3 linked regions of the Bombyx mori genome follow. The main gene of each other region encodes a partner of the protein of the gene in region 3 in a complex. Links are inferred from orthologs where the notes say so. Each region holds a gene or a part of one and is shown on either strand. Other genes may lie near its edges. The genes, in order: eIF3h, eukaryotic translation initiation factor 3 subunit M and eukaryotic translation initiation factor 3 subunit J.

What was found.
Region 1: eukaryotic translation initiation factor 3 subunit J (region 3) and eIF3h share a complex: the UniProt entries of both Drosophila melanogaster proteins name them as parts of the eukaryotic translation initiation factor 3 (eIF-3) complex. The link is inferred for Bombyx mori from reciprocal best matches to the Drosophila melanogaster genes eIF3j and eIF3h.
Region 2: eukaryotic translation initiation factor 3 subunit J (region 3) and eukaryotic translation initiation factor 3 subunit M share a complex: the UniProt entries of both Drosophila melanogaster proteins name them as parts of the eukaryotic translation initiation factor 3 (eIF-3) complex. The link is inferred for Bombyx mori from reciprocal best matches to the Drosophila melanogaster genes eIF3j and eIF3m.

Annotation. Positions count from the first base shown.
Region 1 is NC_085110.1:3,930,212-3,933,970, reverse strand, and holds the start of eIF3h (eukaryotic translation initiation factor 3 subunit H), read right to left. Parts: upstream 2,245-3,759; 5' UTR 2,229-2,244; coding exon 2,151-2,228; intron 1,148-2,150; coding exon 930-1,147; intron 822-929; coding exon 662-821; intron 1-661. UniProt on the Drosophila melanogaster protein: Component of the eukaryotic translation initiation factor 3 (eIF-3) complex, which is involved in protein synthesis of a specialized repertoire of mRNAs and, together with other initiation factors, stimulates binding of mRNA and methionyl-tRNAi to the 40S ribosome.
Region 2 is NC_085119.1:6,794,622-6,798,380, forward strand, and holds the start of eukaryotic translation initiation factor 3 subunit M, read left to right. Parts: upstream 1-1,224; 5' UTR 1,225-1,364; coding exon 1,365-1,409; intron 1,410-1,505; coding exon 1,506-1,685; intron 1,686-1,927; coding exon 1,928-2,022; intron 2,023-2,853; coding exon 2,854-3,069; intron 3,070-3,759. UniProt on the Drosophila melanogaster protein: Component of the eukaryotic translation initiation factor 3 (eIF-3) complex, which is involved in protein synthesis of a specialized repertoire of mRNAs and, together with other initiation factors, stimulates binding of mRNA and methionyl-tRNAi to the 40S ribosome.
Region 3 is NC_085125.1:12,538,099-12,541,759, reverse strand, and holds the start of eukaryotic translation initiation factor 3 subunit J, read right to left. Parts: upstream 2,838-3,661; 5' UTR 2,739-2,837; coding exon 2,723-2,738; intron 2,645-2,722; coding exon 2,559-2,644; intron 2,434-2,558; coding exon 2,320-2,433; intron 306-2,319; coding exon 164-305; intron 1-163. UniProt on the Drosophila melanogaster protein: Component of the eukaryotic translation initiation factor 3 (eIF-3) complex, which is involved in protein synthesis of a specialized repertoire of mRNAs and, together with other initiation factors, stimulates binding of mRNA and methionyl-tRNAi to the 40S ribosome.

The sequences.
Region 1 (3,759 bases), on a different chromosome or scaffold from region 3:
TATTAACCTCAATTTTACATATATTCTTATTCATACATGAACACCCAACTATACATAATGTTTTCACAATATAAATATAAAAAAAAAACAACAATAATTTACTTGCTTGTTGATGAGCATATTGTGAGTCCAAGTTACTATTATTTCTGCACGTAATAATAATGTGTTTAAGGATTGAGAACAGTCTTACATCTTAAGACATGTGTATAAGAACATACATTACCATCCTCTTTATATTTGCTGGGAATCATACATTCATTCTGGTTTAATGGTGAGACATCAAATATATTTTTTTTTATTATTTTTATTGCCTTTGTAGGCAGACGAGCATACGGCCCACCTGATGGTGAGTGGTTACCATCGCCCATGGACTTCAGCAATGCCAAGGGCAGAGCCAAGCCGCTGCCTACCGCTTAATGCACTCATGTTGTGATATCTGCAGGTTGCATGGACCACTTAGATAGTATCCCCATAAAAAACATTTAAAATATCTCAAAAATATAGATTCTGCCATTCACTTAGCATTAACAAGTGATAACTTCACTAAATATACGTAATATAAATAAATAAAATAGCTCAACTTCAGAAATTAGTTCTGTCATAAAGCTCAATTAACAACATTAGCACTTTAAAATGTGTATAGTTATGAGAGCTTAATTACCTGAGGTGTCAAACGATAGGCCTTCAAAGTCAAGAATCCTCTGGCTGATTTCTTTGTATCGTAAATCACAACAACACTCTCCTCAATAGAGGTCTGATAGTGATATTGTGACTCTAATAACGAAAGGCTTAGAAAATTGCCTACATCTGCACTCTGGTACCTGAAGAAAGATATGAGGTATAAGAAAAAAGAAAGTTCTGCTGTTCTAATTTAAAATATTGTATGACATATTTTGACATACTATAAAACAATTTTCAATATTAATTACCATCCAACATGAAAATGATCAACATTGACTCTTCGAAGCCTCCTCATCATGTCCAACTGGTATTCCTCCTCATCCATGGTGTCGTCATGCTTTGGAAATGGGAAGCAGTTGGTAATCTCCAGACGGTTCTCAACGACCAAACCAAGGAGAGCTCCCTGAGCCACCTCCATGTTGCTGCATGATTCTTCATGACAGTGTTTCACTATTTTCATCACTGCCTAAAATAAAAAGCACAAATATATTATAAAAGTGGGAGCAGATCTGTCATTTCAAATGCTTGAGTTAGTTCGATGAGGATTTGTTTGATTACCACATATTAAACTGTTTTACCACTACTTTAAGCATGTTTCAACTAAATAACTTCAGAGAGGATATTATTCAAGGCAAGTTAAAATACACTTTAATGTGTAACAAGTTTAACAAAACAAATTAATACCTACCCATCCCTAATAAATTATTGCTATATTAACTTTCTGTGTATGTGTAGGAAATCAATCAGCTTGCTATTTGCAATCAATCAGAACAAAAACTAATCTCAATCATTTACAGTTAGGAAACTATAAAATTATCAGTAAATAGTAGTATAGTATATAACAAAAAATGACTTCACATATACTATCAAGATCTAAACTTTGTAATGAAGCATAGTTTAAAACACTAATTATATAGTTCAGAGAAAATTTAATGTTTTAGATGTACAGTTAGGTGAGATCATCCTCCTATTTCAATGACCCCCGGGCTCAGGGCAAATGTCCCAAAACAGTCAATGACTCAACAACGTTTATATGTTGTAAACAGAAATAAAAAACCTTTGTAGTCTTTTATTTTCTTTTTATATCGAAAGTTTTTTGGTTCATAGAATCCTATAGAAATTAACATAACGAATTATTCAAGGTTTGGTGAATTGTCAACGTTTGCCCGATTTATTTAAAAAGAAACGAGAGCACAAAATTGAAAACATAACCTATACAATTATCTTTATTATTGCAACGGCAACCTATTTTATTGTAATCTAAGATCTCCTAAAATCATACAACACGAATCATGTTCCAGATCATAATAATCCACCTTAATTGACGATGTTTACTTCTATATATTAATTAAATGGTAAAAATACATGACGTGTCGAGGCACGAACTTTCACAAAGTTTTTAATTTAAAACCTACAGTTGACGTCCGTCTCAGAGAACCTATCTAAACTTTAATTTTAAATTTACTTACCAGTCCATCGCACTGAACATATTGGATCGTCGCTTCATTTTCAGGAGCGCGTCTAGCTGAACCAGCACGGCTCGCCATTTTTAATTCACAAGAGAACGTTTGATTTGATTACATTTTAGTGTAGCTCTCCAAATCGACTATCAATAGCTATCGATAATTGTAATCGATACCTTATTTGCAATCGACACTATACGACAGATTAGCCTTTAAAAATACTACCACGAATATCACATCTCGATTAAACTTAAACACTGTTGGAACTATATACCAGTTTTTACAAATTTCTGGGTTTTAAAAAGAGTAGGTATACGAAGACATACACACGCTAATGAGATTAATATAGTAGTTTTTATATCCCAGTTACAATGCAATAAATAAGTGCCGTAATTTTGCGTATTGTACTATGGATCACAATGATAGTTAATCCTAATGTTTACGGTATAAATGTAAAACAATTAATGCATTATGATCTTGTAAATATTCTTTAACAAATCCATTTTTAGTAATGATAAAAATTAAGGTTTAAAAGATTTTTTATTTATATGATAAATCTCAAATGTTGTTCAATCTTTTTCTATTATCCATGTATAAATTGTATTACATTCTTACAGATTTTGAATTAAAAAAAATACTATAAAGTTAAGTGATATGGCTCGAATTACACTTATAGACGTGAGGTCTCATTATTTGCTTTAATAAGGAAGTGGTATCAATTCGCGTTATCGCTGTATTTATATTTTACCGTTCGTCAATTTGTAATTAATCGTTTATTTATTAGGTTGTACCTTATGGAACATTTTGTTAACTTACGACTTTTGCTTAAGACTCTCGCTCTACAAAGCACAGGTCCGGCCTCGTGTGGAGTACTACTCCGACCTCTGGGCCGGGCTCCCAAAAACCAGCTACTTCCATTTGACTCTATACAGAAGAGAGCCGTTCGGGGGCTCCCAAATACCAGCTTCTTCCATTTGACTCCATACAGAGGAGGGCCGTTCGGATTGTCGATAATCCCATTCTCACGGATCGTTTGGAACCTCTGTGTCTGCGGAGGGACTTGGGTTCACTCTGTTATTTTGCACCGTATGTTCCATGGGGAGTGCTCTAAGGAATTGTTAGACATGAAACCATCATCTCGTTTTTACCATCACACCGCCCGCCACCGGAATAGAGTTCATCCATAATTCCTGGAACTACTGCGGTCATCCACAGGGCGTTTCCAGAGATCTTTTTGCCACGTACCGTCCGGCTTTGGAATAAGCTCCCCTCCACGGTGTTTCCCGACAACTATAACAACGCCTTCTTCAAACGAAGCTTGTGGAGAGTATAAACTGGTTGGCAGCGGCCTGGCTCTGCCCCTGGCTCTATCCATGGACGACAGTAACCACTCACCATCACATGGGCCGTGTGCTCGTCTACCTACAAGGGCAATAAAAAAAACAAAGCTTAGAACTATGTGGTGAAAAAATTTGTTCCTGTTGTGCAGAATTGATTATTTCAAAGCTTAAAACGAATCTTTTACTAATTAATTTTCTATTGTTTTGCTTGGCTCGATGAGTAAATTTTACCCTACAGACACAGCCCACTGAGTTTCTCACCGAATCTTCTCAGT
Region 2 (3,759 bases), on a different chromosome or scaffold from region 3:
CTCATCTAAGAAAAAGTAATAAACATTGACTAACTATTTTGTGTGGGTCTTCATCTAAAGATGTAACAAATAATTCATGGTCACAAGCTACACCCTCTGCTATGAAATATTTGAATAACACTTTGCTGTACACACCAAGGACATCTTCCTCTGAAAAGTAAATAAGGTAATTGAAGTCCTTTCATTGGAATTAATAACAATGCGTTGTGTGAATATAAAAATCATATTAATCTTACTTTCTTAAAATGCAATGTATTGAAAATTAAATGAAGTTATGATAAAAAACTAAATATTTTTAATTTGATTATTTATTAAATTTCATATCCATATTTATTTATTAAATTTGTTTTGGCTCTAAGATATTATGCAATTTTAAAAGAAATTCACGAACCTACAACAAAAATGCTGCCTGCAGGTATTCCTCCACCTAGAAAGTGTAAAATTATATTTATTTTATTGATTTTTGTAAATATATGACAATAAAAACTTTTATAAATTAAATTTGTTCCCTACAATTGTTTAAAATTGATTTGATCTTGTTTTGCCAATCTAATCCATTAAACATAATAGTAAAACTTACCAACTATATGGTCTAAGGATGGAATACCGGAAGATACGTATGGTAGGTTATTTTTCACTTTTGTGCCATTTATATGCGTACTTATATCTATAAATTTTCGAAAACTACGCATTTTTTATTAATATATCAAGCCGATTTCTGTAAAATATTGTTTATCGATTAAAATTCACTACCTACGATGTAGGTATTTTTCTTTTTGAAGTTTTTGTGATTTGGTAACAAGACCTTTAAGCCAGATGTAGGTTTACAAATTTACGAGATATAGTTGCCACGATAACGGGTCTTTACCAATAAGTTACTGTTTTAAAATACCATTTGAAACGTAGTTTATGCATTTCTGACAGTAAATTCCTAATTCAACTGAATTTTTTATTAAAAGTCACAATTACTGTTTAGTGGTTTAGTGTCGGTATATTTCTTAAATTGTGTAGTTTTGTTCTTATCAAATGCCATAAGTATTACAGTGGATGTGTACTGTGAGGAACAAGGCACAATATTGGAGAAGCTCGGGAATCATATAATTTCCAAATTGAAGTCACACTAACACCTTATAATGCTCACGTTGCAATTCATTTCTCTTTATATCATTTTTCATAAAAACAATATACAAAAGATTAGGCTATATGTTATGATACCTTTGCCCTCTCAGTTGGAAAAACTAGAAATACTACTCTATTAACTGTCATATCGTTTGCCACATTTCGTTGCTAAGAAATCGTTCTTGCATTCACTTTAATGCTTATAAATAATAAATAAAAGAATACAGTTCAAAAAAGGAATTAAAATGCAAGGGCCAGCTGTGTTTATGGACATATCCCTGGAAGATCAGGTCAGTTTATGTCAACATAACCTGTCGTTCAAAACAAATTATTTGCTGCAATGTGTCTACATGCAAATTTTAATAAAATTTCTTTCTTGATTGAAGGCACTCGAACTGAGAAGATATTTTAAGAGCCTTGGCGCCGAGATTTCAGAAGAAAAATCACCTAAGGGCATTGAGGATGATCTGCATAAGATCGTTGGGGTTTGTGATGCTTGTTTCAAAGAGCCGAGTGAATCGGACATCGAAGCCATTCTGAACAGTATTGTCTCTATTATGGTTTCTGTAAGTTGAACGCAAAAGCTATAGTTATTTTTAATAAGAAACATCTAGGTGTACTTTAGCATTAATTAGAGTACTAAGCGGTAGGCAGCGACTTGGCTCTGCCCCTGGCATTGCTGAAGTCCATGGGCGACGGTAACCACCATCAGGTGGGCCGTGTGCTCGTCAGCCTACAAGGGCAATAAAAATAAATGTTTGATAGTTGACTCGCATACTTACATATATATTGCAACTAATATTCACAGATACCATTAGAAAGAGGAGAAAACCTTATCTTAGCATTTAGTCAAAGGCTCACTAAGGCTCCTGGCCCTAAACTTGGAATGGTAGCTTTGCAATCGTAAGTATATAGAGGTTTTTTTAACTATGCAAGTAACCTTTATTATTCAACCAACTACATCACTTATCAGATCTTAGTTACAAAGATTTAAGTGAAATCACAGGTTTAAATCCATCATGACATAGGGAATAAGGCTTTTTATTTCTTGCCCATAAATGTTTAAAAATGAATGTTGCAATTTTTATTTTTTTATAATTTATTTAAATGTCAAATAAACAATATTTTAAAATCATTAAGGACAGAAAAAAATGTGTCAAATAAATTTACTTATTTTTGGGATTAAATGGATCCAATGTACATGTCTTCACTACATAGTATAAAACAAAGTCTCTTTCTCTGTCCCTATATCCCTATGTATGCTTAAATCTTTAAAACTACGCAATAAAATTTGATGCAGTTTTTTTAATAGATAGAGGCATTGAAGAGGAAGGTTTATATGTATAATAACATCCATTAAATAGTGGAGAAATCAATAATAAATTACAGTTTCCGAAGCGAAGCGAGGGCGTGTCGCTAGTAAAATATAATAAAAATAGATCCTAGAATTCCAAATTGGTATTTTATAGAATTGAAGCAGAATATGTATTAATGATTGTTAGGGAAAAATGCATAAGGCTTACAGAAATGCTTGATGCTTGTGTGTGAATGGAAGTATGATTAAGTAATAGTATATTCATCAAAAGTTTTAATTGTGGCACAAAAAGTGGAACTGCTGACAGGAAAGTAATGAAAAAAAATTTATACCAAATAATCACCCAGCAGTATTTAGTTTAGGACAATCACTTTCATCCACATGAAAGATAGTAATTTTGCAAAATGTTTGTTTCATAGGTTATGGAGACTTTACAACAACTTAGAACCCAACTCACCTCTAAGATACCATGTATATTATCATGTCATAGAACTGGCTGCACGAGTTGGATTTGTCAGGGAAGTCTTCACTGGGGTTGAGCAGCTTAGGAAAGAGTTTGCTAACTGCCCACCCTCTAATGAACAAATGCAGAAATTGTATCGGCTTTTACATCAAGTGTTAAAAGACCAAAACAGGTATGTTCTCACTACATTAAATTTATTAAACAATGACCATATTATTTCTATGAGTGATGTACCAAAGTCTGATTGCTTGTTAAGGAAACATTGTTATTAATATTTCTCAAAATAGCAAACATATTTCACCAAAAGAGATTCTATGTTTAGAATTATGTTTTGCTATTTGAAAATTATTTTAGTACTATTCATTTTGTGTTATTTTTTTTTTTTTTATTGCTTGGATTGCTGGACGAGTTCACAGCCCACCTGGTGTTAAGTGGTTACTGGAGCCCATAGACCTCCACAACGTAAATGCGCCACCCATCTTGAGATATAAGTTCTAAGGTCTCAAGTAAGTTGCAATGGCTGCCCCACCCTTCAAACCGAAACGCATTACTGCTTCACGGCAGAAATAGGCAGGGTGGTGGTACCCACCCGCGCGGACTCACAAGAGGTCCTACCACCAGTAATTACGCAAATTATAATTTTTGCGGGTTTGAATTTTATTACACGATGTTATTCCTTCACCGTGGAAATCAACCGTGAACACTTGTTGAGTACGTATTTCATTAGAAAAATTCGAACACCGGGTGCATCAACACGAATGCACCGGACCTCTTATCTCTTAGGCCACAACAACTTAATTATAAAAGTAATTTAAGTATACGATGTGCTGTTGTCATTGGACCTGCCTGATTTTAAAAACTG
Region 3 (3,661 bases):
CAACACGAATGCACCGGACATCTTATCCATTAGGCCACAACAACTTCATTATATTAGGGATTATAAACCCTCTTTTAGAATGTCTACTAATTATTGCTTAAAATGAATCTTATTTTGGAATCCACAAACTGTAATACGAGCACACCAAATCAATCAAGCATACCAAAGGTTTCCATGGCTAGTCGCAAATCTGATTCTTCCTGTAGCTTCTGCTGGCGAAGTTTCTCAGCCAACTTCTGCTCTGGAGTCATTTCTTCTGCAGTCTTCTCTGTCACGAGACGTTCAGCCTTCTCACGTTCTTGTCGCTAGTAAAATTTTATAATTTAAATATTATGGATATTATATCAATTCAAGAGCAACTATAGCCTGTCAATTCTATGAAGTTATGAAACTATGTTCATTTTTCTGGTGAATTATCGTATTTTAGATTTGGTTATTATCCCAAACATGATGTAAGTTAACCTTTAACTTAATATTGTCATACCCTATACAAAATTTTAATACAAATTCCTCATGAATTGCAAAGGGTGTTGAATGCTGTGCAAAAGAGTCAGGGCCTCACATGACCTTTGTCTGCACACAATGATCGCTGTATATAAGGTAATAAAGCAATACGCTTTATGCCACCAGGACTACAGAGGTGATATCAAGCAACACCATCAACATAAAGTGTGTAACATCCATACTTTGCATAAAGCGGCAAGATCAAGTCTCAAACTGAGATATTGAGGATGAAGGTAAATAGTATTGAAGCACTTCCAACAAGTGTGGATGACTCTAAGTTTCCTAGATTTGTCTTTTACTAACAGCTGAATTATGAACAGTGAGCACCTGGAGGGCAATGCTAATGTTACAGGGGATGTTTTAGAATGTCATCCAACTGTGTCTAATATCGCACACAACGGAGTCCAGAATGATACAGATATGCTCACAAAGCTGTCTCAAGATTTGAAAAAAAAAAGTGTATACAAAATTTGGCCTTCCTCCTATACTTTATGTAGAATGCTGATGGGCTGTTGTATTGTGCACCCTGCAACAGACCCTTCAAGACAAAATGTGGCTTCCCTAACCATATTTGAGCACATAATCAGTCATAACCAGATGTTGACACACAATATGTCAAGGAAGATGATATATGATGACTGAGTGGGATCGTCAGCTATCATTACTGAGTGAACAATTGCTAGCAAAATGTTATTTTTAAATTCCACTTTTTATGTTACCTAACAGGAACACCCTCACTAGCACCAGATTTCTTTTCTGTTGTTTTTTAAATATTAATAATTAATGGGTTCTTAATATATTTTAATTATTATTCTGATATTTTATGCTGTCAAATGAATTTAATATTAATTGCAAGGTGATGATAATCCATGAGTAATCTATCTTGTTAACCTTCTTTATGCATACTGGAACCTTGATATTTATTATAAATTATTTGTATTTAACTTGTCCTTTTTAATTATTTTTTGTGTAAATATTTATAGTTGAAATTTGCATCAGAGCAGTACATACAGTTACTGTAATTTCATAATATAATAAGTTATCTCCACGAATTTTATATAAATAAGCGTCAATGACTTTTGCAAAACAAATTTTAGACAAACACTGGCTAATGTTAAACTCGATAGGTATCTAATGATTATGTGAATCTAATTTATACATAGATGGGTACAATAAAAAGCTAAATAAAATTTTCTCTTCTGTTTGTCAACAGATTTAGTTTTTTTTATTTATCAGTTTTTTCTTCACTATTAATTAAAAAAATACCATTGACTGCAAACGAAAGAATATGATTCGAGCCCTACACCCCAGCAGAGAGAGAAAGAACAAAGAAGAAGATGATAATTAAGATAATTTGCCAGTGATTGGTATTATAAAAAAAAGAACATTTAAACTGATTTCAAATGGAGTGCATATTTTATCTATTCCACTAGATGGATGATCATGGCGAAGCAGGCAATAAATATCAGTGTCTATATATTAAGTCTTAAATTTTACAATAGACTACATATATTATTTTTCCTTCAAATCTTATTTCTATTTTTGGTATGTATACAATGCAATTAAATGTTTTAAAATTATTTTTAGACAACTTTTGGTTAATAGAGGATGCAATTGGCTTCAACAATGCTCAACATTACCAAGTTTATGTGTAACAAAACTATTAAGTTCATGTGTTAAAATACCACTAAATGGGTAGTAATTTATGTTACCATATAATTATAATTATCTATTCTATAAACTAGAAGCTATTCTAGTAGAGTTTAGACTATAAAATCTCTAAATCATTAAACATATGTTTTAAAAGCACTATACCTCTCTTTCGGCTATTTTATCGTGTATTTTCTTTTTAGGTTTCGGTTGTGGAGGTGGCGCTGCCTCAGTCTTTTCTTCGTCTTTCTTTTCCTCCTCCTCATCCTCCCAGCTTTCCTGCGAATAAAGTCTGACGTCAACACGTAGGCAGTCATTTAGGTTATGTACTGTTTTGAGAAGATTCGTAATACATTTAGAAGTTAGAACACTGTATACAAACTACTTGGCACACCAATGATTACCTTTACGTTATCATCCTCGTCTTCCCCTTCCCATTTGTTGGAAGCTGCCAACGTGGTCGGGAGTTTGGGCTCGAAGTTATCTGCGTCTGGAATGTACCACGATTGACATTACGAATGTAGATATTTATAAAATCTATTTTGTTATTGTATTAAACAGTACGTACCCCATGACACGTCCATTTTTAGGACTCCAGAATCAGCAGCTGAATTAATATGAAAACTTTTCACCTGAACACCAAAATCGGACAACTATCGACAGTGACTTATCACTCACAAGATGTCTCCAGAGTCGTCGTTTTCTAGACAACAACAAAACTCGAGTGTAATTCGTCAAACTGAAGACGATTTTCTGCAATTATCACGGTCGGATTGAAAAACAATGAACAAATGACATAATATTGGCGAAGCCCCAACAGACGTATGTTCACAAATTGATTTAGAAAAGTAAGAATCCATTGCAGACGATAATTCCCGATTTACTAAAATTTTCAATATGGCCGACAGTGTTATATTTTATTTATCTCACGAAACAGGCGAAAGGGTCTTAGCCTATACAGGATCATTTTATGAAAAATCTTGTCAGCTATCAGTATAAATGGTGAAATGAAACGAATAGAAAAATATTACAAGTTTAAAAAAATTGTTTTGTATTTTAATTTAAGAGTAAAATAATGTATTTTCCTAATTAAAAAGAGTGTTCTCGTTGTGTATTTTGAAGCTCCCAAGACTATTTCGTACTCATTTAGCCGTTTTAGCTATTGAAACTAGAAAGACCTTGGGACCGCCAGCTATCCCTACATCACAAAAAATAGATTTGAGTCTATTATAGTTTTCTCTGATGTGTTGTATTGACAGAAATATTTTTGTACGCATTTAAAAACACCAGACAGTACATACATTTGTGTGTGATGGTGTTAGAGCATGTTGAGATGCACTCAACGCTGAGCGGTGTAGCACTGGGGTGGACGGAATTGAGGTATTGGTTGTTGCGTGTTTGATGTCGTACTCGTCCTTTTTTTTGACCTACTTATGGCTACGTGTAGAACGAGCTCATGGTGGTCAGCCTGAATAATTTGCAAACATTAGCCTTAACCAGGACACTG